Stegostoma tigrinum: one gene and its partner. The protein of the gene in region 1 interacts with the protein of each later gene in a pairwise test. Links are inferred from orthologs where the notes say so. Each region holds a gene or a part of one and is shown in the gene's direction. Other genes may lie near its edges.

Region 1 (15,474 bases):
AGCGGATAGGTGGAGAGGAGACGGACATGTCAAAGAGGCAGGGATGGAGCCAGCAAAGGTGAATGTAGATGGGGTGTTTGGGTGGGGGTTGGTCAGTCAAAGGAAGACAGACAGGTCAAGGAGGCAGGGATGAGGCCAGTCGGTAGGTGGTGGGGGTAGCGGTTGATGTGGCAGGAGTGGATAGGTTGGAGAAAGGACTGACAGGTTAGGGAGGCAGGAACGAGCTAGGCTGGTTTCGGGATGTAGCCGGGAGAGGGGAGATTTTGAAGCTTGTGAAGTCCACATTGATACCATTTGGCTGCAGGGTTCCCAGGCAAAATATGAGGTGCTGTTCCTGCAACCTTCAGGTGCATCATTGTGGCACTGGAGGAGGCCCAGGCTGGACATGTCATCCAAGGAGTGGGAGGGGGAGTTGAAGTGGCTCGTGACTGGGAGGTGCAGTCGTTTGTCGTGAACCGAGCATAGGTGTCTCCAAGCTTCCACTTGGTTTTCCCGACGCAGAGGAGGCCACATCAGGAGCAGCAGATGCAGTACACCATATTAGCAGATATGCAGGTCCATCCACCTCACTGCCTCTCTCTATTTGTCTCAGAATCCCCTTCCCCTCCACCATTTCTGAAGAAGGATCTAGACCCAAAACGTCAACTTTTCTGCTCCTCTGATACTGTTTGGTCTGCTGTGTTCATCAGCTCTACACCTTGTTATCTCTTAAACTATTGGAATAATGTGTGCCCATATATGTGGATGATAGTTAAATTTAGGGTATGCAGGGTAGTTTGAACTTAATAAAATAATAGGTTGGCACAACATTGTGAACTGAAGGGCCAGTAAAGTGCTGGACTGTTCTATGTTCTATTAATCATCTTCCAGTCCTCACTATGAGTATAAATGATACAAATTTTTCTGCTACAGGTTCCGCAATTTCGTCAACTTCCCACAATGTCCTTGATCTGGAGATTTATCTACCTTTTTGTTTTCTAAGATCTCCAACATTTGCTGTATGCTTGTGCAATTAAGAGTTAAAAGAATTCCATATGTTCTTTCGTTTAATGTGTATATCTTGTAATCAGCTGAAGTTCTGCAAAATTAAGTAGATGGTTTCCCACAGCAGGTTAAACTAATGTCACCCCTTGGGCTAGAGCTAGACTTTTCTGAGACTGGAGACATAATTAGCTTACAAACAACTAGACTGTAAAGCGTGGTTTGCATCTGTCACATTTGATTGTATGGCATGCCTGGGCCCAGTTAGCAATTTACATATGTATGAGCAGTTGTACATTGTCTCTTAAAAATTAAACTTTTAAATTAAATCTAGCTATGATAAAGTAATCTGGGATACAAAACCCGAAAGAATGCTCCATAAGCTATAAATCAGGAACATAAACAGAAGTTGCTGGAAAAGCTCAGAGGTACGGCAGTATCTATGAAGAAAAATCAGAGTTGAAGGGTCACCAGGCCCAAAATATTAACTCTGATTTTTCTTCACAGATGCTGCCAAACCTGCTGAGTTTTTCCATGAAACTTCAGTTTTTGATCCTAATTTGAGAGATAATTCAGTGTTAACCGTGTATTCCTAATTGGTTTAAGTATGAGCGACCACCTTAATTGAAAGACATCCACAAGTTACACATTTATCTTCAGGTAACCTTAGGGTTTTTGCCTCCTTTATGAATGAAGAAAAAAACTTGTTCTCAGTCATAAATTTACTTCTAATTAGTGATTGGATTTCTTTCTTACTGTTTAAAGTATATCTTTTTTTAAAAAATCTATATGCTTATGAGTTTAATCAGATATGAAGTTTCGTTGAACAATCTCTCTCAAGTTATTAGTTTTGATTGTTCCCTCATTACTTTGATTTTAGTTACGATTTGATTTGATTTTAGTTGTCCGGTGTTTGGCACTTCGGAGTTCCAGACTACAATTCTGGTCACCTTTGTGTTAACAGATCTACAGTTTTTCATGATCCTGTAGCATCTCAACTTTAAACAAAGTCTCATTCTTGTTTTCAGATTCCTCGATAGTCTCACCTTTCTCCCTTATATCTCCTCCTACAATGTTTTGAATTTATGCACTCCTCAAAAAAAGTCTATTTGTGCATCTCAGATTGATTACTCCACCGTTGATGGAGAGTTTCTGGCCGCTAAAATTCTCAACACTGGAATTTATTCACTAAACCTCTGTCTCTCTATCTCACTTTCCACGCCTGTGTAAGCTTTTGTTCAACAGTCCTAATACTTTCTTATGTGGTTTAGTGTCAAATTTTGTTTGATAATGCTCCTCCGAAACACCTTGAGATGTTTTAAAGTCATTACGTAAAATCCAAATTGTTCTTGTTCTCTGTTACTATAACTGTTACTATCTAATCTACATTAGATTGAGATGAACATCGTCCAGTTCTGAGGAAGGGTCACTCGACCCGAAATGTTAACTCATTTTCCCTTCACAGATGCTGAGCATTTCCAGAATTTTTTATTTGTTCCTGAACATAAGCTAACATAACTTAAAAAAGCAACATATTATGATGTTAGAAATCTGAATAAAACAGAAAATGCTTGAAATTTTCAGCAACTGTGGGAGACAAATAGGGTTCAAGTTTCAAGTGATGACATATGATTCGAAATCAGTTTAAAATATTGTTTCAGCCTGTGCTTCTTGTGTGCTTTTGAACTTATTTTGAGCTGGTTAATGGACATCCCAGATAATAATTACTTGAAGCAGCAAGGAGGAAATAAGCTGAGACAGGATGACCCAATGGGCAGGGAATAAAGATTTTGCACTGTCATGTACAGAATGTGCAATTAAGTATTGCAGCTACAAATGACATTTACCTGAAAGTTAGTGATGCATGTTGATCCTATTCATAGGAGTTTCTATCCTGTAATTAATATGATGACAGCATGTATGGATAAGAAAATGTATTTGAATAATGAGGACACCTGTTAGTAAGAGTTGCATCAAATTGCTCATGATTGTTTTCTTTGTGAGAATGTCATGGTATTTCTATGACTCACATTTAAAATTTAAGATCAAATTTCAACTAATTTATCTAAGTAGTATATATAATAAATTTTTGCCTGGAATCCAGACAGAAACAAGAAAGAAATAGAAAGTATTAATGAACAACCAAAGAAAAGAGACACTTGTAATTACGTATTTCTTCTCATGACCTCAAGATATTTCAAAGCAACTTTGTCATTTAAGGGCAGTTGAAGTGTTGTCATTGCCTCACTTCCTACATTACAAAAGTATGTACACAGAAAATTCCTACAAAAAGTCATGGAGGTTTTGTCAGGGATAAAAATTGGCCAGGACACCAGCAGAAGTTCTTTATTCTCTTGGAGCTTGGTCTCTTTCCTGTCAACCTCAGGAAATAGGCAGGAACTTGTTTTCAAGTCTTAGCTGAAACCTCCAGTTACGCAGCACTGTCTCAATACAGCATTAGAGTATCAACATAAACATGATCAAACCTCCAGGGTGGAGGCTGAATTTATGAACTCTGATTCAGTAGTGAAAGAGCTACTGCTGAGCCAGGGCAGGATTAAGAGGCCTAATGCCACGGTCTTGGTTATTAACTTCAGACGGTTCAACATGTTAATGTGCACACCACCACTGTGAGAGAGAGTAATCTACCAAGAAAATAATATTGAATCATATACATTGTGACAATTGATTATGCATCAATTAATGCAGTCAAATCTTCACTTCCTTTTCTATGGAAAAGAAAACCAGTGATTTATTTGAATGGAGAGAAACTGCAGAACTCTTATGGTACAGCAGGATCTGATCCAGTTGTCCTGGTATATATTATATATATCACAAGACATTGACTTGCAGATCTAGCAAGTGATTAGAAAGGCAAATGGAATGTTTTTGTCGTGAAGTAGGGAAGTATTGTGAGAGTTGTACAACACCTTTGTGAGATTGCATCTAAACATCCCTCTAGTGTTTTTGTGTCCTTACATAAAGCATATAATTGCATTGAAAGCAGTTTAGAGCACATTCATTTGTCTGATTCCTTCATAATGTTATGAGTCAAGATTAAACAGGTAGGACTCATGCTCATTGGAGTTTCAAAGAGTGAGGTGTTTGTTTTAAAACATATTAAATCCTGAAGCGATCTGAGTGTGTGAAAATTGAGAATGTTTTGTCTGTGTGTGGATAGCCCAGAACGAGAGGACACAGTGAAAAATTTAGGAGTATCTCAGTTACAGAGTCACAGAGTCATTCAGCACAGAAAAAGACCCTTTGGTCGAGCCTGTCCATGTCCACCAGATAGTTCCAAACTGACTTAGTCCCATTTGAAAACATTTGGCTGATAACCCTCTAATCCGCCCTATTCATGTACCTATCCAGATGCCTCTTAAATGTAGTCATTGTAACCACCTCCACCACTTGGTCTTCCATACTTGCATCACCCTCTGCATGAAAAAGTCACTCCTCAGGTCTTTTTTAAATCTTTCCCCTTCACTTCAGATTAGATACCCCACAGTGTGGAAACAGGCCCTTTGGCCCAACAAGTCCATACTGCCCCTTGGAACATCCCACCCAGACCCATCCCCCTATAACACACACACCCCTGAACACTACAGGCAATTTAGCATGGCCAATCCACCTAGCCTGCACATCTTTGGACTGTGAGCGGAAACTGAAGCACCTGGAGAAAACCCATGCAGACACGGGAGAACGTGTAAACTTTGCACAGGCAGTTGCCTGAGGCTGGAATTGAACCTGGGTCCCGGTGCTGTGAGGCTGCAGTGCTAACCACTGAGCCACCGTGACCCCCCCCACCCAGCCCCCGGCCTGTGCCTGCACAAACCTATGTCTGCTAAATGTTGAGTGAATTCTGAGGATCTTCAGTCTGTGGATTTCTTCTCCCTGGAAAACATAGAACATAGAACATTACAGCACAGTACAGACCCTTCGGCCCTCGATGTTCTGTCATACCGATCTGAAGCCCACCTAACCTACACTATTCCATGTATGTCCATATGCTTATCCAATGACGACTTAAATGTACCTAAAGTTGGCGAATCTACTACCGCTGCAGGCAAAGTGTTCCATTCCCTTACTACTCTCTGAATAAAGAAATCACCTCTGACATCTGTCCTATATCTTTCACCCCTCAATTTAAAGCTATGCCTCCTCGTGCTCAACGTCACCATCCTAGGAAAAAGGCTCTCCCTATCCACCCTATCTAACCATCTGATTATTTTATATGTTTCAATTAAGTCACCTCTCAACCTTCTTCTCTTGAATGAAAACAGCCTCAAGTCCCTCAACCTTTCCTCATAAGACCTTCCCTCCATACCAGGCAACATCCTAGTAAATCTCCTCTGCACCCTTTCCAAAGCTTCCACACCCTTCTTATAATGCAGTGACCAGAACTGTACACAATACTCCAAGTGCGGCCGCACCAGAGTTTTGTACAGCTTCACCATAACCTCTTGATTCCGGAACTCGATCCCTCTATTAATAGAAGCTAAAACACTGTATGCCTTCTTAACAGCCCTGTCAACCTGGGTGGCAACTTTCAAGGATCTGTGTACTTGGACGCCGAGATATCTCTGCTCTTCTACACTACCAATAATCTTCCCATTAGCCCAGTACTTTGGATCCGGTTACTCCTACCAAAGTACATCACCTCACACTTGTCCGCATTAAACTCCATTTGCCACCTCTCAGCACAGCTCTGCAGCTTATCTCTGTCTCTCTGCAACCTACAGCATCCTTCGTCACTATCCACAACCTCACCAACCTTAGTGTCATCTGCAAATTTACTAACCCATCCTTCTACGCCCTCATCCATGTCATTTATAAAAATGACAAACAGCAGTGGACCCAACACCGACCCTTGCGGTACACCACAAGTAACTGGTCTCCAGGTTGAACATTTCCCCATCAACTACCACCCTCTGTCTTCTTTCAGCAAGGCAATTTCCAATCCAAACTGCTATTTCTCCCACAATTCCATTCCTCCGCATTTTGTACAATAGCCTACTGTGGGGAACCTTATCGAACGCCTTGCTGAAATCCATATACACCATATCAACCGGTTTACTCTCATCTACCTTTTTGGTCACCTTCTCAAAGAACTCAATAAGGTTTGTGAGGCACGACCTTCCCTTCACAAACCGTGCTGACTATCCCTAATCCGTTTATTCTTTTCTAGATGATTATTAATCCTATCCTTTATAACCTTTTCCAACACTTTACCGACAACTGAGGTAAGGCTCATTGGTCTATAATTACCAGGGTTGTCTCTACTCCCCTTCTTGAACAGGGGAACCACATTTGCTATGCTCCAGTCATCTGGCACTATTCCTGTAGACAATGACGAGTTAAAGATCAATGTCAAAGGCTCGGCAATCTCCTCCCTGGCTTCCCAGAGGATCCTAGGATAAATCCCATCCAGCCCAGGTGACTTATCTATCTTCATCCTCTGTAAGATTTCTAATACCTCTTCCTTGTGAACCTCAATCCCACCTAGTCTAGTAGCCTGTATCTCAGTATTCTCCTCAACAACATTGTCGTTTTCTAGAGTGAATACTGTTGAAAAATATTCATTTAGTGCTTCCCCTATCTCTTCTGACTCCACACACAACTTACCACCACTATCCTTGATTGGCCCTAATCTTACTCTCGTCATTCTTTTATTCCTGAAATACCTATAGAAAGCCTTAAGGTTTACCCTGATCCTATCTGCCAACAACTTCTCATGTCTCCTCCTGGCTCTTCTGAGCTCCCTCTTTAGGTCTTTCCTGAGTACCTCGTAGCCCTCAAGCACCCTAACTGAGCCTTCACATCTCATCCTATCATAAGCTTTCTTCTTCCTCTTGACCAGAGATTCCACCTCCTTCGTAAACCACGGCGCCTGTGCTCTACAGCTTCCTCTCTGCCTGACAGGTACATACTTATCTAGGATACACAGGAGCTTTTCCTTGAATAAGCTCCACACTTCTAATGTGCCCATCCCCTGCAGTTTCCTTCCCCATCCTATGCTCCCTAAATCTTGCCTAATCTCATCGTAATTGCCTTTCCCCCAGCTATAACTCTTGCCCAGTGGTATACACCTATCCCTTTCCATCACTAAAGTAAACATAACAGAATTGTGATCGCTATCACCAAAGTGCTCACCCACTTCCAAATCTTACACCTGGCCAGGCTCATTACCCAGTACCAAATCTAATGTGGCTTCGCCCCTTGTTGGCCTGTCTACATACTGTGTCAGGAATCCCTCCTGCATGCACTGGACAAAAACTGACTCATCTATAGTATTCCAACTATCATGTTCCCAGTCAATATTTGGAAAGTTGAAGTCCCCCATGACAACTACCCTATCTCTCTCGCTCCTATCGAGAATCATCTTTGCTATCCTTTCCACTACTTCTCTGGAACTATTCAGATTAATTCATTTAACATTTTTAAGGCCTGTGATACATTAGACCTTGATTGACAAGTGACTCAAAGAAGGAGAGGGGAAAGTGGACTTGAGATTGTATTCATTCGAGTTTAGAAGCTTGAGGGGAGATCTAATAGAAACTTACAAGATAATGTATGGCTTAGAAGGGGTGGATGTTAGGAAGTTGTTTCTGTTAGGTGGGGAGACTAGGACCCGTGGGCACAGCCTTAGAATTAGAGGGGGTAAATTTAGAACGGAAATGAGGAGACATTTCTTCAGCCAGAGAGTGGTGGGCTTGTGGAATTCATTGCCACCAAGCGCAGTGGAGGCTGGGATGTTAGATACCTTCAAGGCAGAGATCGATAAATTCTTGATCTCACAAGGAATCAAGGGCTACGGGGAGAGTGCAGGGAAGTGGCGTATAATTGCCCATCAGCCATGATTTAAATAGCGGAGTGACTCGATGGGCCGAATGGCCTTACTTCCACTCCTATGTCTTATGGACTTGAGGTTACAAGCAGAGTAGCCATGATCTTTTGTTTGACGTTTCTATAAACAATGCAGATGAGAATTTGGAAGGCATGATTAGTAAGTTTGTGGATGACACCAAAATTTGCAGCAGAGCAAAGAGTAAAGAAGTTTTTCTAAGATTACGGAGGGATCTTGATCAAATATGTCAATGCGCTGAAAAATGACAGATGCAGTTCAATGTGGATAAATGTGAGGTATTGTACTTTGGTACAACAAATAGGGGCAGCACTAATACAATTAATGGTAGGGCCTTGGGTAATGTTGTGGAACGGAAAGACAAAGGGGTTCATGTACATAGTTCTTTGAAGGCAGACCAGTATCTAGAAAGGCATTTAGCACACTTGTCTTCATTGCTCAGTCCATTGGGTGTAGGAATTTGGAAGTCATGTGGAGGCTGCACAGGACATTGATGAGGCCTGTCCTGAAGTACAGTGTGCTGTAGTTATAGGAAGGGTATTTTCAAGTTCGAGAGAGTTCAGAAGAAATTTACCAAGATGATGCCGGGTATGGAAGGCTGGAGTTAAAAAGAAAAGCTGGATAGGCTGAGTCTGTTTTTGCTGGAGTGTGGGAGGTTGAGATGTGACCTTCATAGAAGTGTATAAAATCATGAGAGATATAGGTAGGGATTAATGGTAGATGTCTTTTCACTAGAATGGGAGATTTCAATTCTAGGAGCTATATTTTCAAGGCGTGAGGAGAGAGATTTTAAAAAGACACCATCGGCATTTTTTTTACATAGAGGGTGGTTCGTGTGGAGTGAACTTCCTCAGAAAGTGGCGGACGTGGGAGTTACAGCCTTTAAAAGACCCTTAGATAAGGTCATGAATAGGAAAGGTTTGGAGGGATATGTGCCAGGAGCAGACAATTGGGACTGCTTTCGTTTGGGATTATATTAGGCATAACCCAAGGTCTGCCTCCGCGCTGCATGACTGATGATAGACGAGTCTCGAGGGACCGAATGGCCTTAGGCGCTCTCCTCAGTCGTGCCTGATGGTGCAAGAGCGTGATTTGGTGAATTGAGATTTTCCATTTTTGGCAGGAAGAATACCTCTGTCATTTCCCTTTAATTTCAGTTACTGTAAATTTTGGGGATTGAGTATAAGCTAAAACTCGGGTGATGGGCTATACCTGATTAAAATTCCTGGATCCGTTGCGTTGAGGATGCAGTGCCGGCGAAGCATTAATCAGGTGTCAAGTTTGAACAATATCTGTGGGTAAACCCTTTCACTGAACACAATCCAGGGATTTAACCTCACACACTAACAACGGTGTAATTATGAAACAAAGAAATGTGGGGTTCCGGAAATACCGTTAAATTATCGCAGCTTGTATAAACCATGGTTGGTGACTATGAAAAGCAAACAATTCACATTTTATTTTATAACTTTCTTTAATAGTTTTTAATATATTTTAATTTTTATCGTGAGCTTGCTGAACACAATGAATGGGCTGCGTGTAAAAACAGTGCATTCAAATACACTCCAATGGCTGATAACAGATGATCAAACACGTTCTATACATTTATAATCTCTCCATCATTATTAAGAGCCCCCGAGCAAGTTAATAAGATAGTCTCAGTGTTTAAGGTGTTGGGTAGTTCAGTTGAGCCCCCGCTGGGCAGCTCTTTGACGCCTGTTCACTGGGGGTTGTTCACACCCAGATCCTGCAAGCTTTTCAGCTGGTGTCATCTTGATTCCCGCTTCCTGCAGGATCTTTCAGCGCCCTGATGCAACTGTTAACAAGAACCATCTGATGCCACGAAACCGAGCCTCAGGTTCGGTACAAAGTGCAGCTTTCTTGAGGCTGGCGATCGATGTTGAGAGCAGGGTAAGTACTTTAGTGTCGCTGATGAAAAGTCATAAGCATTTCATACGTTACATTTGCCCAGTGGAGTGAACTGCTGGATTCTGGCACCTGCAGTTTCTGTACATGATATACTCACACACCAGTCCCTTTCATTTTAAAATTATTCTGCATTTACTTTTAGTCGTCTCATTTCCTCGAACACCGCCCCCCCCCCCCACCCCGCGGGATATTTTTCACTTCTCACAAGCTAGTCTACGGTATTCACTACTCGCAATGTGGTTCCCCCTCTACATTGGGGAAATGAAGCATTTGACTGCTTTGCTTTTCAGAACATCGTCTTCTGTCCCACAAAAAATAGACCCTGAGCATCCAGTTGGCTGCCACTTTAGCGCACCACCCTGTCCCCTGGCCACCATCTCTGTCTCAGGCTTGCTGCAGTGTTCCAGTGAAGCTCAGTGCAAGCTACAAGAACAACACCTCATTTCCTGCTTGGGAACCCTCCAGCCCTCTGGACTCAATATGGAGTTCAATAATTTAAAGGCCTGAACTCTCCACTGTCCTAGACCCCCACCTCACATGTCAGGCCTTGTTGTCACATAGATAATGGGAACTGCAGATGCTGGAGAATCCAAGATAATGAAATGTGAGGCTGGATGAACACAGCAGGCCAAGCAGCATCTCAGGAGCACAAAAACTGACGTTTCGGGCCTAGACCCTTCATCATTTGTTTGCCATTGCACGCTACCTATTGTTTAGCTATTAACAGTGTCCCTTCATAGCTATTCAACCTCCTAGCCAGCTCGTTATCCACTCCTTTGTCTGTTTGACCTGTTCTTCTCTCTTTGGGTTGTAGCCCAACATATTGTTTACTCCATACCCACACCACACCCCTGCACCCCATCTTCCGCATATAAACTGACATTTCCTAGCTATCATCAGTTCTGAAGAAGTGTCACTGGATCCAAAATGAATAGTCTGATTTCTCTTCACAGATGCTGCCAGACTTGCTGAGCTTTTCCAGCAACATTTTTTTTGTTTCTGATTTATAGTATCTGCAGTGTTTTTTTGGCTTTTATTTGGGACATTTTGAGTTTGGTTATGAATTTATCAACACTCGTGTAAGTTTAAATGCCAGAAACTATTCATTTGAAATAAATAGCGAGTGTGGTGATATTAACAGGTGATGGAACAATAACATTACCACAGTTGCTGCAACAACTTTTTAAAGGCAAACTTTTGCTACAAAAAATAAGGTGAGGCACCACGCAACTGGCTATACAGTGTTTGAGAATGTCAATGTTAGTAACTAACCAATCAGAAACAAACATGATGAGCTGAATGACCTTTAACTGTGCTGTCACCTTTCTATGGTGGCTGGTGATTTAATACTTCCAGTTCACCATAATTTGACAAAAAGTCAGAATTTCATTTTCTAAATTTAAATTTCTGCTAATTTCCACTGAAGGATTCCACTTACGAAAGTATCACATATAAACAGTGAACTTCTAGCAGTGAATCTAGCAGTGTTGGCTTTGGAGAAGGCACAGATCAGGTTCACCAGAATTGTTTATCAATGAGGCACTGGGGAAAACCCATGTCCTTGGGTCTCCCCATGTGCCATGTTGCGTTGCCATTGACTCCCTCTACACCCCAGCAACTGTATCCAGTTGAGCACAGGTTGTTTATGCCCTCAGCTTCCTGTTTTCTATTGGTCTGAGTTTTTGATTCATGAGCTCATCATTGTAAAGACTGTCTGCTTTCACCTCCATCATTATATCTTTCTTCACCCCTGCTGTCGACTACTTGCTACTGGAACTCCAGTCATACTTTTGTTACTCCCACACTCCACTATTCAGTGTTCTTCTGGCTGACCTTCCACCCTTCATAAGCTTAAACTTATTGAAAACTTTGCTACCCGTATCTTAACACACAATGTTTATCCAACAACCCTGTGCTTGCTGATCTACATTGATTCCCAGCATGGAAACACCCGTTTTGAAATTCTCACCCTTATATTTGAATCCTTCAGTGCCCTCTCCCTTCTATCTCTGACAGGCCCCTTAGATTACAACACTCCTCCATTTGTAAATTCTTGTTCATCTCCTACTCCTTTTGTCTGACCATTTGCAACCATATCTTCATCCACCTAAGCTCTGGAATTAATTCCACCAACTGTAATTTTCTCTGCTTGTTTAAACTTACCTGTTTGACAAAACTTTTGTCTCCTCTCCTAATATCTCCTTTGCATCTATGTCTTTGGCCCTCCCCATGTGTCATGTTTTGCCTGATGTGTAATTATAACCCTGTTAAATACCTGTTCCATTATAGTTTCTATATAAGGACATTGTCATAGTTGATTCTAGGGCTTAAACCATTAAGGAAGAATTGTTGCATAAACTTGATTTACGTTCCTTTGAATGTAGAGGTTATATAATGTAGTTAATTTTAATGTGACACACAAAAGGATGGAATTTACTCTTTGTTCTTTATTTATTCTCTCCTCCATTATTGCTATTTATTCACATTCTCTATTTTTCTTCTTCTGCGCTACTGCTATTTATTTAGAAAGGCATAATAAATGCAGCACGGGCCATTCAGCTCAATTAAACTGCTGGTGATATTGCCTATGAATCTCCTCTCATTCTATCAGTAGCACATAAATTAATTGATTAATTAATGAAAATTAATACTTATTTCCACTCTGAGCTTCAAAAATATTTTACATTTTGTAGTCTTGACTATAATATTTCCCTTTGCCAGTAGCAATACAGTTTGTCGGCTCTCTCAGCTACAGTAATATTGTGTTCTTTCTCTGGCTGGGGTAATATTTTCTGTATTCCTGTACTCTCTTTCTACCTGAAATATTAATGTCTGTGTTCTCTCCCTCTCTCACCCTCTTGTCATCTACAGTAACAATATGACCCCTTTTGGTAACTGAATCTGCTATGACTCTCTGAGCTCTCTCTGTCTCCACATACAGTAATATTGTGTACCTCTTCTTTCTAGACTAAAATCATGTTAACGCTCTCCCTCGCCAGCTTCAACCTATAGTAACACTGTCTGTGTTTCCCCACTCTGTCTACCTGCTGTAACAACATCGTCTGTTCCATTTCTCTGTCCACCTCCAGAAACACTGTCTGCGTTTTCTCCCCTCTCCCTGTCCACCTCCAGTAACACTGTCTACATTTCCCCTCTCCCTGTCTTCCTTCCTCAAGCGGTGAACAAGACATTGTGGGCGGAGTCTCCAGGATCTTGCCCCGCCCCTCAGCGTTGAATGACAGGTGGCAGCGCGCCTGCGCCTTGAGACCCGATTTGAAAGGATGGCGCTGATGATAACAGAGGACTGGATTCGGCGGAGGCTGGATCTGAAGGAACAGCGGCTGGGTAAGCGTGACAGGGTTCAGGTGGGGATGTCAAACCAAGGTCTCGGTCACTTTCCGTCCCGAGGGTCGGGGTCGAGTCCTTGCTGCCCGCCCCGTTCCGCTCGGAAGTGCTGTGTTTTTTTTTCCTGGGAACTGAGTTAGGCCTGGATAGCTGCTCACCAGGGTTACTGAGGGTCAGAACTCAGAGATACTGTACTGGATTCCTGGTGACATTAGGCATGTCCATTCTTCTCAGAACATCAAGTAAATAAGTCACTTACTCCCTGATTTCAAAATTGCCAAGACTTATGCTGTGATTTGCATTTATGCACTGTAGGGACTTTCATGATCACTGTTCATCTCAAAATGCTTTACAACCACTGAAGGTTAGTCAGTGCAGTAATTTAGGAAATGTGGCAGCCAGTTTGAGCAGAACAAGGTCCCACGAACAGCAGTGTGATGACAACCTGGCGTTAGTTTCCTTTGTGATGTTGTTTGCAGGATAAGCCTTTGCCAGGGGATAGCACCCCAGCTCTTCTTCAGAATGTGGCTGGATCTTTACAGTCCATTACAGAGAACATTTATGGCCTTGGAAGGATGGTGGATTTGGCAACCTAGAGCCCTGTTTGTATTGCAAAAGAGGGTCAGCCTTGATCTTTATGTTAAACTGCCATGGGATGTGAACCTGAAACTTTATGACTGGGATGAGAATGGCAAGCAATTTAGAAAATGTTTGGCATGTGAGCTGTTATTACAAAAAGAGTGGAGTACAAAAATAAATAAACTTAAATTGCTTATAAAGCAATGGCATACAGCTTTGTTTTTGGGGGTTTCCCTCCTCTTGGAGATGTCCTCTAGTTCTATTACTGCAGTTTAATTTAACAGAATTGCCTCATTGTTGTATAATGTGGGCTATTCTATGATTCCATTGACTGATTCAACACCTGTGGCATTTATTTGAAAGGAATCAACTTTCACTGAGCCAGGAATCGGTTTTAAAATATATCAACATAAACATATTTGCTGGAAAAGCTCAGCAGGTCTGACAGCACCTGTGAAGGAAAAAAACAATTAATGTTTCAGGTCCGGTGACGCTTCCTTCCAGTCCCAAAATATTAACACTTTTTTTTTCCCTTCACAGATGCTGCCAGTCCTACTGAGCTTTTCCAGCAACTTTCTCTTTGTTCTTGATTTACAGCATCCGCAGTCCGTTCGGTTTTTACCTGGTTTTAAAATGATGGGGGAAGTCACCTGACCAGCAACAGTAGCCACTTTTCTACAAACCTCCAAAGTATTAAATTATCAGAACACGTCTGGCCAGTTCCACGGACAATGTCAGTGGCCGCTGTTGAAATTCTCTATGAAATCTAAAAATGACAAACCACCCAGACATCTTGACTGTAGATATTGCCTAGGGAGAAAGGAGATCAACTGAAACTCATTATTTGGGGGTAGAAAGGGAGAGGTGCCGGCTGAGGGCACTTCCTTGATTCAAGGAGTCTTGATCTTTGATAGTTTGAAATGGTTCCTTGTACTTGTCTATCTCTTGATCACCTTCCCAACCAGTGCAAAAAACAACAATTATAGTTCTTTTCAGTCTACCCAGACATGTTATGGCTCTCTCCTGGAGCAGGTGGGACTAGAACATGGGCCTAAAGTTTTTGAGATGAGTTGTAGCTTGTGTTGTGGATAAGGTTGTGGACATGCTTGCTGAGCCAGTGGGTTTGGGTACAAAAGTTTAGTCACCCTGTTGGGTAACATCGCCAGTGTGCCTCTGTTGAAGTGTCCGTGTTGTGTCATCTCTGAAATGTGCTTGATGATTAGTGAGTTGGGTCATGTTGTGTCTTCCTGTTGCGGTCTGTCTGTCTTGGAGGTAATGGCGGATTGTGCTCTTCGGGCATCTATTTCTTGTGAAGATTCAGTGCAAAGTTCCTGTTATGCTTTGTGTAGTTCCGGGTTGCCACAATGTGTTGTGGCTTGTTTAAATAGTATCCTGATGCAGCTCCGTTTGTGGGTGTTGGCATCGTTGCTGGAGCAATTGAGTATTTGGTCTGTATGTGTAATCTTTCTATGTATGCTAGTCTGGAGTTGCCTGTTGTTCTTGCTTTCTACCATTACGTCCAGGAAAGGTAGTTGTTGAAGCATATACAAACAAATCAACAGAACACCAATAGGGTCCCAAATTTCAGGACTAATTGCAGAAGCAGTGACACAAAGGTTAAAATGGACAGCACCTCCCACTATACAATCCAAACTTTTGGGTCCAATATGTAGATGACACCTTTTGTGATTATTTAAATGCAGAAATCTAGAAGAAACCCACTGACACATAAACAACATCCCTCTCAGATTAAAAGAAGGAGAACAAAAACTGAC
Region 2 (15,439 bases), on another chromosome or scaffold:
AATACCACTAAGAGATTTCCCTTTTACATTGTTGGCAATTCTTTGTTGAGATCATTTTCTGGAATCACTATCAGTGTTTCCAATATTATTTTATTGCTTTCTACTTTCATCCCAGAGGGAGGGTCACCAGACCTGCAACATTAACTCTGACTTCTCTTCAAAGATGCCGCCAGACCTGCTGAGCTTTTCCAGCAACTCCTGTTTTTGCTGGCACAGATTACACTTCTCAGCCATCACCCTGAACATTGAAACAATATTTAAACTTGCTCATGGGCTGTGGAGGGCAAGCCTTGGAGTGTCTTTAAGACAGAAATAGATAGGTTCTCGATTATGGAAGGTGATCAAGGTTAGGGGTAGACAGAAGGATGGGACTAAGAAACTATCAGCTATGATCAAATGGCTGGGTAGACTTGGTGGGTTGAGTGGTCTAATTTTATTCCTGTATCTTATGGTGTTATGATCTTATCCCACAATTGTCATTCTCCTCTATTCAGGAACCTCAGGAAGGTATGTTACCCAAGTAGCTGCCTACGTAATTGTCCTTTGGATGTATCAGCTGTCATGGGTCTGGACTGACTACCGAGCTCTTACACTGAGCCTCAGGACCAGCCCCATCACAAAATACACAGTCCTGGACTTTGTAATTATTTCAAATTAATTGCAAGAATGAACCTTGACAGGCTGAATGTCTCATTTGACAACTACTCATTCTTATCAGAACAATCTAATTTACAAGGACACTCTGTAATAAAACTTCAAATTGAACTCTGTTTCAGATGATCTAATGCCATGCCTCAATAAAGAAAACTGTTCATGTAACTTGGTGACAAATGGCATTTTTCTTTCTTTACCACAAAACATCACTAACCCTTGTATAACACAGGTAAGAAACATTTGATGGCACATCAGAATGACTGAGTTAGTAAACTGCAGATTAATGGATTTCCTGAAAATAATTGCCTCATTTCATAGAAAGCTTACTCAGCAGAATAGAAATCTGAGTAGTGATGCCATTAGAACTTATAAAATGGTTTAACTCTCTATTTTACATGGAATTACAAAATCCTATTCACCTCAAAGTTCTGTAATTACTATGCATTTTACTCACCATCACTGCATTTGTACTTGCAGATCCCATCCTCTCCACCTAATAAATCCAGTGCTGCATTTAAATACATGTCAATTTTATGAATTCCGTTACGAATTGTTTTCAGCTTCCCCATCCAGTCTTTGTAGTGTGTAACTTCTGAATAGTACCCATGACTCTTGAAAATAATTCCCACAAGCACATAGACAAGCAAATGCATCCTCAATGGAAACTCTGCACTGAAACTCTTTTCACTTCAAGTTTTTGATTACAACATAAAATACTATTGCAAAGGTTCACTGGCATTGCATAGCCAAATTTTAAAAATGTTCAGCAAGTGACTTCAGCACCAAGGTAATCTAGTGCAGTCAGACAGCACTGGTTACTGAACTTTTGAATGCTGTTGTAGATAGATATTCTTCTGGCAACTGCTTCAGGACTGTCATGCTGTACAAACATCAGTGTTGGTCACATGGACGAGAACAGCATGCCAAATTGGATGAAAAATGTCACATCTGTTCGCACTGTTGCGAATCTAGAATGGGGTCGGGGGAGAAAGAGAAAAAAAGAAGAGGGCCTATGAAATCAAATTTATTCAAAATATATTCTCTAAATTCAAAATTCAAACTTCATAACCATAAATTCCATTACTTCATAACAGAAGCAAATGATAGTCCTTGAAGTCGAACAGATGAAATATTTGCTGATGAAGGGTCTAGGCCCGAAACGTCAGCTTTTGTGCTCCTGAGATGCTGCTTGGCCTGCTGTGTTCATCCAGCCTCACATTTTATTATCTTGGAATCTCCAGCATCTGCAGTTCCCATTATCTCAAATATTTGCTGTGTTGGCTAATATCGCATTCAAAAAGTATAATGTTGTAAAAGACACAATACAGGTTATTCAAATTCCCTGCGTAATCGCTAAAAAAAAAAGCAATCTACACTGGAGTTTAAGTCTTCATTACCATAGCAATGATTAAACTGACATTACTGATAAAAGATCAAAACATTACCTCAAGATGGTAACCATGCAAACATATATAAGGGCAACGAACAAGGGTAGACCACTTGGCCATTCAAACCTGCTCCAACATTCAATAAAATATCAGCTGATCTGACTTTAACCTCAACTCCACATTCCTGTATGTCCCTTATAATCTTTCATCCCCATGCATCATCAAATCATACAAAGACCAACTTGCACTACATCTGTGCGAGGTACCACAATTACTGAATGTACAACAAATTGGAGCATATAGATGCAGGAAAAGGAGTATACCATTTCGTCCTGAAGGCTGTTCTATCATCTTACGGGATCATGGTAATTCCAAGCAACTGCCTTGGCTCCACATCCTTTAATATCCCAAACTGGCAACGAGTAATTTATACACAATTAATTCAATTAACACTTATGCTTCTTGCAGGAGTGAATTCTACAATGTGTGCGAAGAAGTAGTGTTTCCTAACTTCTCTCCTGAAGAGCTTGTCTCTGATTTTAAAGGTCATGCTTCCCTTTTATGCATTTGTGGGTTGCTACCTATTAAAGTTTCACTTTTAGTTCATCAATTGTTTTCTAAATCCTAAAAAGTTCAATTAATTTTTTCTATATTCCAGTGGATACTAACCTAATCTGTAACGACTCTCCTCATAAACCAAGGCTTGGAGCCCTAGTATTATCTGCAGAATCACAGATTATGACAGTGCAGAATAAAGCCATTGAGCCTATTATGTCAGCACCAGCTCTCTGAATAAGAATAGATAATCTGCACAACACACCTTCCAAAGCCAATACACCCTGAAGCGTGGTTTATAGAACTGCATCCAACCAGAATTTAATACAACTTCATAAAACATCCTTCCTCTTTTTTATTCGGAGGACTAGAATTCAAGGACTGACATTTCATTACCCTTTTAAATTATTTTTTGATCCTGTTCCCTACATTGAACAGTCCATGTACAGAGACACAGTTATACTTTTCTTGGACTTCTGCTCATTATCTTCTCACCATTTACCAAACACTCAAATCTATCCTATTTTTGCTGCAGACATAAATTTTACAACAGTCATTGCTAATTTTACAACATGCATACTGTAATAATGTGTCTAGGAAAGCTAACCATCATGGTTTTGAATTAAACAGTACTTTCAAAAACATAGTCTAGAAATGTTGACAAAAGCAGATATAGAAGCTTCAAAACAGAAGTCAATTTTCCCAAGTTCATTTTACAGCGTGGAATGTTCATTTTAACAGTGAAGTCTCAAATTGTGGTTCTACCCTCACCTAGCCTGCTCCACACTGAATGATAGATTCTGACCCTCATGTTATTAGATTTTTGCCAAGATAGAAGGACATGAAACACTTAATAAGGCAATAAAACAAAAGTTAAATAAACATTTGTTTCCACAATCAAAACTAATCTGCTTACAGATTCTGATTCTCATTTCCCCCCCCTCCTCCCTTATTCAGGCCTTTCAGATGTGTCACCCCCACCACAATGTAGGCCTTGCTGTCGAAATTTATTTGTCTTTCAATACCTTATCTCATTTTCATGTTAGTCTTTTAGGTTTACCTTTGTCAACTTGCACCTCTTCGTCCTCTTCTCAAAATACCTAGATATTTCACTATGTTAGGGACAGAACAACAGTCTTCTGGATGGATAAGGATCAATTTGAAGGCTGGAATGTGCCCTTGGGCACGTGTTGGAACAACTGCAAATACTTAAAACTGGAGATTGAATAAGGGCTGAAAAGAATATCCTAAGGTTCTGAGGCCTTCAAAATATCAATAAGTGGAGCTCCTCTGCTGATTGACATTGGTTGCGGCCCACGATAGCTCAAGGCCTTAGTATAAATGCTGTACAAAGAAAAGAAAACTGGAAAATTAGACCGAAAATACCTGGTCTCCTATCGTAAAGCCACAATGCACTCCTGCTGAACTTCCACCCACACCTCATGAGCACTGAACACTTGAAGTGGCTAGCAACACCCATCCTATGGATATCATTATCATCAAATATACTTCTCCCTGTTCTGAATGGGAGAGATAATTCTCACATTTGATCCCTTGTTTTCTCTGTGTGCAGTCACTGGATTGCCTCTTTTCAAGAGATACTCGTTAATTTCTACACTTGACCAAAATCATCATGGGATGTTTTTAAACAGGCAGTGGTTTAAAGAGCCAATGCATTTGTAAGAAACTTACATATTTGAAGACAAAGGTTACAAGGAGAGAACAGGGTGGTTGGTTCACTTCTCGTTGTTGCAGCAGACATAAGAAACATAGCAATTTTTGCATCAGCTTTTTGTTAGATCTTCATTTTAGGTTTCAGCAAATTATTCAGTTATGGGAACCATTGCAATCATACTTCCAATTGTGTTTATTCCAATGACCACCCTTAGCACAAACATAGCCTAAATTAATGCAGCGCAATCATGTGCAAGCTTTAGAACTAGATCCAGGAAAAACAATGTTCTAAGATTATGTTGCTGCATTGAAAAATGATCACTTATTTATAACCTTTTTCTTGACTTTCAATCATCTCATTCCTCCCACTTTTCTCGATTGGGTCTAATCTCATCTTCGTCATCTCCTTACTTATAGTATCATACAGCATGGAAACAGATCCTTTGGTCCAAATCATGTGCGCCAACCATACATCCCAATCTGACCTAGTCCCATGTGCCAGCATTTGGCCCACATCCTTCTAACTTTCCTGTTCATCCAGATACCTTTTAAATGTTGTAATAGTACCCTCCTCCACCACTTCATCTGGCAGCTCATTCCAGACATTCACCACCCTCAGCATGAAAACGTTGCCCCTCATGTCCTTTTTAAATATTTCCCTGTCACATTAAACCTATCCCCTCCACTTTTGGACTCAAACACCCAAGGAAAAAGACCTTCGATAATCATCCTATCCATGGTCCTCATGATTTTATAAACCTGTATAAAAGGTCATTCCTCAGCATTTGACGTTCCAGGGAAAAAGCCACCAGCCTATTCTGGCTCTCCCTATAAATGAAACTCTCCAGTCCTGGCAATATCTTTGTAGATCTTTTCTGCACACTCTCAAGTTCAAAAACATCTATCTTCCAAGATAAGAGCAGAATAAGATGCATCAGAGGGTCCTCCTCCACTTCATCCATTTGCTTTTGTTTCTTCTCTTGTGTGTTTTCTTTTCCCTTCTTTTCTCTCCTGCTGGCCACGGACTCCCAGCCTTGGACTCAGCACAGAGCCAGCAGGGCGCTCTCCCAGCCTGGTAGCATGGTCTGCCAGACTCTCAGCCTGGCATGGGCTTCGGGTCTCAAGGTGGTTCCTCAAACTGTGGCTAAGCACTTGAGAGACTATAACGCTTAAACTTTCAGCTTCATTTCTTTATTTTCTACTTAAAACTAAGGAGGTCTGCAATGTGTAACTTTAACTTTATTTCATACATTTTACACTATTCTATAATTATTGCAATGTTTTACTTTTAACTTTGTTCTCTCTTTCTAATTTAGTCTTAAGATTTTGTAGCTCGGTACTCATACCTAAGATGGCACCTTACGTGGTAACATTATCCACTTTTCACTGTACTCCTGTACTTTTGTACTTCAGTACATAGACAATAAAATCAAAATCAAAGCATCCTTTCTATTGCAGGACGATCACAATCGTATGCAGTGTCCTCAATAAAGTCCTGTACAACTGCAACATGATGTCCCAATGTCCATACTCAACATTGTGAACAATGAAGGCAAGTGCGCCAAAATCCTTCTTCACCACTCTGTTTACCTGCAAATCGAACTTGAAGGAATTATGCACCTGCACCTCTGGGTCGCTCTGTTCAGCAAAACTCCCAAGAATCGTACTATTAACTGTCCAAATCTTATCTGGTTTACCTTACCAAAATGCAACACTTCACATTTATCTAAATTGAACTCATTTGCCATTCCTCAGCTCACTGGCCCATCTGATCAAGATTACAAGTGTCTTATCAATTCAGAGAAAGCCCCTATTTGCTTGATCAGGTGCAGCCCAACACACTCGCAACAGCTAGCAAAACCCTAAACAGATTATGTGATCGTTCACTCATTAATTTACTACTTATACAACATTTCTATGTGCAAATGATTTGGTGTAGTAACATAAATAATAAGTTATTGATTTTGAAAAGTAATTAATTGCTTACCAAAGTACTATGGGGCCTGACACAAAAGGCATCTTTAATTAAAAAAAATTCTTCCATAGGATACCTGTTACTGGCAAGCTCAGGGTTTGTTATCCATCCCTAATTGAATGGAGTGACTGGCTAGATCACTTCAGAGAACGGTCAGCCAATTGCCGTGGATCTAGAATCTGTAGGTTGGGCTGGGTGAAGATGGTGGATTTCCTTCCCTGATGGCAGTAGAGAACCAGACGAGTTTTTACAACAATCGATTATTGTTTCATAATCACCATTCCTAAGACCAACTCTCGATTCCATCAGCTGTGATTCAAACTCGTGTTCCCAGAGCAGTAGCCTGAGCCTCTCAATTGCTCACTCGGTATTGTGAAAACCACAGCAATGTCTCCCTGAGCTTACGTCCCATGTAAACGTATATTACTATTTTCTGAGATAACAAGGTGTAGAGCTGGATGAACACAGCAGGCCAAGCGGCATCAGAGGAGCAGGAAGGCTGACGCTCCGTTCTGAAGAAGGGTCTAGGCCCGAAACGTCAGCCTTCCTGCTCCTCTGATGCTGCTCGGCCTGCTGTGTTCATCCAGCTCTACACCTTGTTATCTCGGATTCTCCAGCGCCTGCAGTTCCTACTACCCTTATTACCATTTTGTGCTCATTTTCATTTCCTGGTTAAAAGTTCAGACATAAACTGCTGCAGAGGCGCCTGACTCAGCATTATTATCCAACCAGCATATACCCCCCCCCCCCAACATTTAGCAAAAAAAAACTAACATTTCTATCCAAAACGAAAGCACTTTCCCTCACCCTGTAAGCTGGAGAGGAGGAGACTATCTCCATTACTCACCTTGTACTATTTACTGTTCAGTGTTCACACTCAGCCGAGATTTGTTCTGTCGCTGTGGGCCCCTTACTTCGTCGGCGCTGCTTGATGACGACATGAGTTGTCTTTTCTTCTTCTGATATAGAACTTTTCGAGAAAATTCTCTCACCGCAACATCTGACGACGTGAAAACCTGGACGCTGCCGTCTCGTTTGGGTATTCATTAATAGGCCGAAAGGGCTGTTTGACAGCTCCAATTCTGCGGACCTTTTATCAGGCGCCGGGCGTCTGTCTCCTTCGCTCTCAAGATGCCTCCTAAGGGAAAGGCAAAGGGTGGGAAAGGTGTGTCGAGCTTAAACATTGTCTAACCGTATCATTGCTCGGATTGAAGTCTAGACGTTGTTGTGGCTGTGCAAATATAAATTCAAAAGGGTAGACATGGATGTTAGTATCAGTCGTGATTATTTCACTCGTTCCTGACAGCGAGTGTTGCTCACGTAAATGAAGCCTGGGAGGTGAATCCAAGATAATAAAATGTCAGGCTGGATGAACACAGCAGGCCCAGCAGCATCCCAGGAGCACAATATTGGGTAACAAAAGGAGAGATTGGTTCTACAGTGTTTACAATTGATGTTGGACTAAAGCTTAAGCCCAAAGGGACGTTTATGTAATTCTGATACAAGGCCAGACTTTAATGTTTTGGTCTAATTTTCCTCCTTATTCGTAATGCTGTGTTTGCCAGAGATTGCTGATTTACAGCAGCCAGTATACTAACTCAGAGGAGATTGTGTTCTGCTTTCTAAATAACATTTACTGTTATGTAGACGTGCACGCACTGGAAATAGTTAGTTAAAGGATTAATCTTATTTTAGGCTGCGGTTTTGAGGAAGGGTCACTGGACCTGAAACATTAACTGATTTTTCTTCACAGATGCTGCCAGATCTGCTGAGTGTTTCCAGTGACTTGAGTTTTTGCTCCTGATTTACAGCATCTGCACTTCTTTTGGCTTTTAATCTTATTTTAGGGACTAAATTGTGCAGCCATTAGTGCGATACATTTGTACTTCTCATTGTAAAATGATCATCTGGCAGATTATTTCACAGGGATGCAACATTTGGAGCAGCTCATGGCGGAGTCCACAAGGGAACAGACAACACTGAATTTAGTGTTGTGCAATGATGCATACTAGATAAGGGAGCTTAAGGTAAAGGACATGTTATGGAGAATGGGCAAAGAAGTGGCAGATGGAGAATAATGTGGAAAAGTGTGAGGTCGTGCACTTTGGTAAGAAAAATCGGAACATGGACTTTTTTTAAATGGGGAGTAAATTCAGAAGACTGAAGTGCAAAGAGACTTGGCTGATCTAGTCCAGGATTCTCTCAAGGTAAACTTGCAGGCTGAGTCAGGAAGGCAAATGTAATGTTGGCATTTATTTTGAGAGGATTTGAATATAAAAGCAGGGATGTACTACTGAGGCTTTATAAGGCTCTGGTCAGGCCATGTTTGGAGTATTGTGTGCCGTTTTGGGCCCCATATTTCAGGAAGGATACACTGGTCCTGGAGCAGGTTCAGAGGAGGTTTATGAGAATGGTCCCAGGAATGGAAAGCTTAACATATGAGGAACGTTTGAGGACTCTGGGACTATACTCGTTGGAGTTTGGAAGGATGAGGCGGGATCTAATTGAAACTTTCAGAATACTGAATGGTCTGGACAAAGTGGATGTTGGGAAGATGCTTCCATTGGTAGGAAAGTCCAGGACCCCAGGGCACTGCCTTACAGTAAAGGGAAGACCTTTTAGAATGGAGACAAGGAGAAACTTCTTTCGTCAGAGAGTGGTGAATCTATGGAATTCACTGCCACAGAAGGTTGTGGAGGACAGGTCAATGAGTACCTTTAAGACTGAGATAAAGAGGTTCCTGATTATCAAGGAGATCAAGGGTTATGGTGAGAAAGCAGGAGAATGGGGGTGAGGAACTTATCACGCATGATTGAATGGTGGAGCAGACTCGATGGGCCAAATGGCCTAATTTCTGCTCCTATGTTTTATGGTTTTATGGTCTTATGATATGCTGTTTAGTTACATATATCAGAAAATTTCCAACCTTTCTTCCTTGACCTGATTTTGCAGTAGGGTGGGTGATAAGATTTGCTCAGGTGCCCTTCAATTAGAAACTGGGAAATGCTGGGCAAGGTTTCTCCCTCTGAGTCAAAAACAGAGATTGCTGGTGAAACTCAGCAGGTCTGGCAGCATCTGTTGGACGAAAGCAGAGTTAAAACTTTGAGTGCAGTGACTCATCACCAGAACTTCTCCAGTGTCTGCAATTTTTAGTTTTATTTCATCCACTTCTGAATGCCTGCTGCCAGAAAATGCCATGCGAGATACGGGTCAAAGTTAGGGATTTGTGACTCCTCATAGACAAGTTACCAGGTCACATTCCCTGTTTGGTGTCACACATTAAGAGTCACCATTCAAAATATGTAACATTAGACTGTCATCATCTACAGAATTGTACCTCTATATCAATGATATCTTCTCCAGTCCAGCAACATCCCCGAGTCAATAATTGGATCTTGTGTGAGATTGCAGACTTGCTTGCCAAGCCAGTGTGTTTGATTGCAGATATTCCATCACCCTGCGAGGTAACTTCGTCAGTGTGCCTCTGGTAAAACATTGGTGTTCTGTCCCGCTTGTTAATGATATGTCTTGGTTTGCTGAGGTGGTTGGTATTACTGCCAGTTTTGTTCTTCAGTGGGTTGTATATCAGGTCCAGTTCAATGTATTTGTTAACGGAGATCCACTGAGAATGCCAGGCCTCCAGGAATTCCCTGGAATGTCTGTTTGGTTTGTGCTATTATCAGTGTGTTGTCCCAGTCAAGTTTGTGACCTTCTTTGTCCGCGTGTATTGAGATCAGTGAGAACTGGGTGTGTCTCTTGGTGGCTAGATGGTGTTCGTGCATCCTTATTGTCACTTTTCTTCCAGTTTGGCCTATATAATGTTTCTCATGATATTTTGATAGTCCTTGCATGATATTTTGTATATTACGTTAGCTTTGTCAGTTGTGGATATGGGGTCCTACACATTTGTCAGTAGCTGTTGCAGGGTGGTTGTTGGTTTGGGGGCTAATCTGATACCTATGGTCTGTGAATCATCTCTGATATGTCCTTTATGTACGGTAGGGTGACTGGTGTGTCTGGCTGTGTTATTCCTTGTTGTGGTCTGTTGTGGAGGTAATGGTGGATTGTGCTTCTTTGGGTATCCATTCCTTTTAAAAACTCCTTATATGTGCTCCTGTTCTGCTTTGCACAATTCTGGATTGCTGCAGAGTGTTGTAGTCCATTTGAATCATGTCCTGATGAAGCGCTGTTTATGTGTGTTGGGATGGTTGCTGGTGAATTAAGTATCTGCCCCATATGTATTGTCTTTCTGTGTATGCTAGTCTGGAGTTCCCTGTCGTTCTTGCGTTCCACCATTATGCCTAGGAAGGGTAGTCAGTTGTTCTCTTCTTTTGTAAATTTTATTCTGGTGAGGATATTGTTTATGTGTCAGTGGGTTTCTTCCAGTCTTGTGCGTTTGATAATCATAAACGTGTCATCTACATTGTGGACTCAGAGTTTTGTTTGAATGGTAGGGAGCGCTGTCTGTTCTGACCTTTGCATTACCGCTTCTGCTATCAGTCCTGATATTGGGAATCCCATTGGTGTTGCACTCATTTGTTTAAACGTATGGCTGTTGAAGGTGAAGTGGGTTGCGTGGCACAGATCCAGGGGTTTCAGGGTGCTGTCCTTGTTGATGACGTGAGGTGCCTGCCTTCCTGATTCGTCCAGTAGCGTGGCAATTGTCCTTTTGGCTAGGTCGATGTTTATGGATGTAAATAGTGCTGCTGCATCAAAGGATACCATTATCTTGTCCTCTTCTGTTCTGGTGTCCTTGATGATGTTGAGGAATTCTGGGAGGAGTGATTGGAGCAGTAGTGTTGTCAACTAAGTGTTTCAGTTTCTGTTGTAGTTCTTTGGCTAGTCTACATATTGATGTGCCTGGTAGTGAGACAGTGGGTCTGGGGGGACCCCTACCTTGTGTACCTTGGGGAGTGTTGGATCCCTCTGGCTTCATTTTTTGACAGTCTGTCTTGCTTAAATGCCTGTAATCAAACACACCGGCACAGCAAGCAAATCTACAACCTCATCCATTGCCTGAGCTGCAAGTTTTCTCAAAAACTTTGGATCTTCTGTCTTTTAAATGCTGGAGTAAACCCACACACTTGAAATCATACTGTAATGCCAGTTGTGGCATCAGTACTCTTTACCACTTTGAACTGGATGTACATATATTTCCTACAACATACAAACATAGAAATTATGAGAAGAAGTAGGCCATATAGCTGCACAAATGTGCTCCACCAGCATAAAATCAAGCCTGATCTGATTGCAATCTCAAACCACAATCCCATCTACTCCCAATGACCTTTTACCCACATATTAATTATCTAGACCATAAGACGTTGGAGCAGAAAGTAGGCCATTCAGCCCATCGTGTCTGTTCCACCATTCAATCACGGCTGATAAGCTTTTCAACCCCTTTCTCCTGCTTTCTCTCCTTAACCCTTGACAATCAAAAACCTATCTAACTCTGTCTTGAATATACTCAATGACTTGGCCTCCACAGCCTTCTGAGGCAGTGACTTCCACAGATTCACCGCTCTCCGGCTGAAGAAGTTTCTCCTTATCTTAAAGGTCTTCCCTTTACTCTAAGATCTATCCATCTTCACTGAAAAATATTCAAGGGCTCTGCTTCCCTTGTGTTTTGAGGAAGAGAGTTCCAAAGACTAATTACCCTCTAAGAGAAAAAAACATGTCATCTTCATCTTAAATGGGCAACAGCTTTTTTTTTGAAATAGTTGTCCCTAGTTCTAGATTCTCCCACACGAGGAAACATCTGTGTATCCCCTCTATCAAGACCCCTTGGGACCTCAGATGTTTCAATCAAGTTGTCTCTTACTCTTGTAAACTCCAGGAGATACAAGACTTGCCAGACCAAACCGTCTTCATAAGAGAATCCATCCATTTGAAGTATTAATCTAATGAATCTTCTCTGAATTGCTTCCATTTCATTTGCATCTTTCCTTAAAAAAGGAGGCCAACACACTGAACTCCAGATGTAGCCTCACAAGTGTCCTGTATAACTGAAGCATAACTTCCTTATTTGTGAGATCAGTGACCAAGTTACTATGTTAGTAAAAATAGAAGGTGGTTTAGAAACCTAGTAGATTTGGCAGCATCTGTGGAGAGAGAAATAGAGTTAGTGCTTCAAGCACAATCTGACTCTTCTTTGTAGCTTTTCAGAACTCTTCTTTTTGAATCTGTTCGAGGGAATAATCACACTGGACTCGAAGCATTAACTCTGTTTCCTTCCCCAAAAATGCTGCCAGACATGTACTTTGTTTTTATTTCAGATTTTCAGCAACTGCTGCATTTTGGCTTTGTTATTGTTTATTCTTTTTGGAGAATCAAATCTTTAGTTTTTAATACTGTAGCCAAATATTCCAGAAACAATATAGCTGAAGCTCTATTTCGTGCAGCCATGAGTTGAATATCGTGGATTATGAATCACCAGTGCATTTACTTAAAAAAATAAAGAAACATATTCCATTTTTGTACATTTAAGGTGCTGCAGCCAGTGGTGATAGTACTGATAAGAAAGAAAAAGGATCCAAAGGGGGTAATGCAGTGAAGGTAAGCAATCAGAGTGTAAATTATCTTCTTTGGCCACTCCCTTATACCTTCATGTTGTAGATTATTAGTTCAAAAATCACATAAGGAATAAGTATATAATCTAGGCAAATGTTAAATTAGAAGTTAAAATGAATCCTGAGTTTCCTGATGCTTTACGATGTTTGTTGAAAATGCATTTTTAAAACGAGGAAGAGTTGAAAACAGCTCTGAAAGCAGAGCAAACATTATTCTGTCAATCAGTAGCAACTTCAATGATTAATGTTAACGTTTTTGGCAGAGTAATTCCTCATCTGACTGCAAAACAGATTTTCCAGAAAAAGTGTCATATATATTATTTTAAGATCTTTTGATGTGAATCCTATGCTGTGCAAGGTGGTAACGTGCTATGATGTCACTGGATGAGGAATCCACAGAACCATGATAATGCAAAAGGGGTATGTGTTCAAATCCCACCACAGCAGCTGGTGGAAGTTAAAGTAAATTAATAAATTTGGAACGTGAACCTACTGTTAGCAAGGGTCTCATGACAGCTATCGTCAATTATTGTTAAGACAGATTCGGTTCACTAATACCCTTTGGTGTCACTCATGAGGAAAGCCTGCCATCCATTCCTGATTTAGACTACACGTGATGTCAGACCCACAACAAAATGGATGAATTGTAATTACCCTCTGAAAATGGTCTAGAAAGTCACACAGTTCAAGGGCAATAGGAATGGCAGCGAATGTTAGCCATGCCAGCGATGCCCTTAGCCCAAGACAGAGCGAAAGCAAAGTATTTTTTAATGTTATTGGTGTAATAATATATTATTAGTTTGCTTTTAGTAGAAGTATCTAATTATTTCACATTGAGAGCTCTGAATTCTCACTTTCCTGCATCTTTTTAATCGTTACGCCAAATTGTTAGATACTTAAATTTTATCACAAGAGATACTTCAAAGAATCAGAATTAGATTATATTAATATAGTTAGGCAGGAAATTAGTGTGAAAATACTCTACAATTGATTGGTACAAGATAGGAAATAGGGACAGTAGCAGGCCATTTTGCCCCTCAAACTTACCTCAAGATCATTGATTTGTACAAGGCTTGAAATACTCCTTTTGTGACACCCCTCAGATCCACGATATTTCACATATTAATCTACCTTCTCTTTAAATATTTTTAGTGATCCAGCCATCACAACTCTCTAGGGTATAGAAATTCTAGACATTCACTATCATCGGGAAAATAAATTGTATTGTATCTCATTTTTAAATGTAGGCCCTCTTCTTCGGTAACTTGTATGTTTTAATAAGATCATTCTACTAAATGCTAGCAAATAAAAGCCTCACCTGTTCAGCCATTCCTGATAAATAAACCTCTTTATCTCAGGAATCAGCTTAATTTATCAAGTTTGAACTGCTTCCAACACCAGTTTATCTTTTTCTAAACACAGGAACCAAAACTATACACAGTAGCCCAGGTATGGACTCACAAATACCCCTTATAGTTGTACCCTCCTTTTAAGATCCAATCCCATCTGGCACAAAGGTCAAAATTTCCAATAATCTCACACTTTCATACATTAAACTCAATCTGGCAAGTTTTGCCGACTTAGTCAACCAGAAAGAGTTGTACCCGGGCTTGAAACATTAACTTGGCTCTCTCTCCACAGATGCTGCCAGACGTGCTGAGTTTTTCCAAAATCTGGGTTTGTTTCAGATTTCGAGCATCCACAGTATTTGCTTTTATATCTATGTCCCCTTGTAAATCCCTCAAGTCCATATCTCAACATGTCCTCCCTATTTTTATATCATCAGCAAATTTGGAAACATTACACTCTGCCTCTCCTCCAAATCAATAATATCATAGTAAACAATTGAGGCTCTAGGACTGATCTTTATTGCATTCCACTAGTTATGTCTTCCCAACCTGATAAGAAAAAATCATTAATTCTGACACTATCTTCTGTGCGTTAACCAATCTCCGTTACATGCTAGTACATTACCCCCCGTACTGCGCCCTTGTAATAATAATAACCTGTAATGTGACACTAATTGAATGCATTCTGGAAATCCAAAAATACTACACCTAGTTCCCCAGTATTAACTCTGATTGTTCCAGCAATGAGTCAAGCGACTTGATTGCATGTTTTCCCCTTCACAAAACTGTGTTGGTTCTGTTTGATTGTGTTAAGCTTTTCTAATTGTCCTGCTATTTTTTTCTTAATAACAAACAGTCTAACATTTGTCTTTGGGAAAATAATACTATCAGCCTTTGGTTTCACTCTTTGTGTCTCCCTCCCTTCTTGATTGGAGTTCTCACATTAACCATTTCCCAATCCCCTCAAACCATTATGGAATCTAGAGAATTTAGAAATATTTTGACCAATGCCTTTAAAACCTTTGCCTTTTCCTTTTAAACCCTTGAGTGCAGGGCATTAGGACCTGGTACTCACCTGCCTTTAATCTAATTAATTTGTCTCGTGATAAACTATTACAAGATCTGTCTTCCAAATAGCATCTTGTTTATGTGGTGTCTTTGTAATGTTTATAGTGTCATCCAGTATATGAAGATGCATATAAAATATTCCTCTGCCATGTCCCTGTTCCCTGTTATTAATCACCCTGTTGCATCCTCCAAGGGTTCCAAACTTAC

What was found.
Region 2: the proteins of cep72 (region 1) and pin4 interact in binary tests that used the Homo sapiens proteins (3 or more experiments, as listed by UniProt). The two-hybrid records come from large-scale screens. The link is inferred for Stegostoma tigrinum from reciprocal best matches to the Homo sapiens genes CEP72 and PIN4.

The regions. Positions count from the first base shown.
Region 1 is NC_081355.1:19,596,936-19,612,409, forward strand, and holds the start of cep72 (centrosomal protein of 72 kDa), read left to right. Parts: upstream 1-9,654; 5' UTR 9,655-9,757; intron 9,758-12,951; 5' UTR 12,952-13,056; coding exon 13,057-13,120; intron 13,121-15,474. UniProt on the Homo sapiens protein: Involved in the recruitment of key centrosomal proteins to the centrosome.
Region 2 is NC_081368.1:50,284,254-50,299,692, forward strand, and holds the start of pin4 (peptidyl-prolyl cis-trans isomerase NIMA-interacting 4), read left to right. Parts: upstream 1-7,175; 5' UTR 7,176-7,377; coding exon 7,378-7,411; intron 7,412-12,733; coding exon 12,734-12,801; intron 12,802-15,439. Other genes in the region: pla2g12a (group XIIA secretory phospholipase A2), read right to left, coding at 1,109-1,307.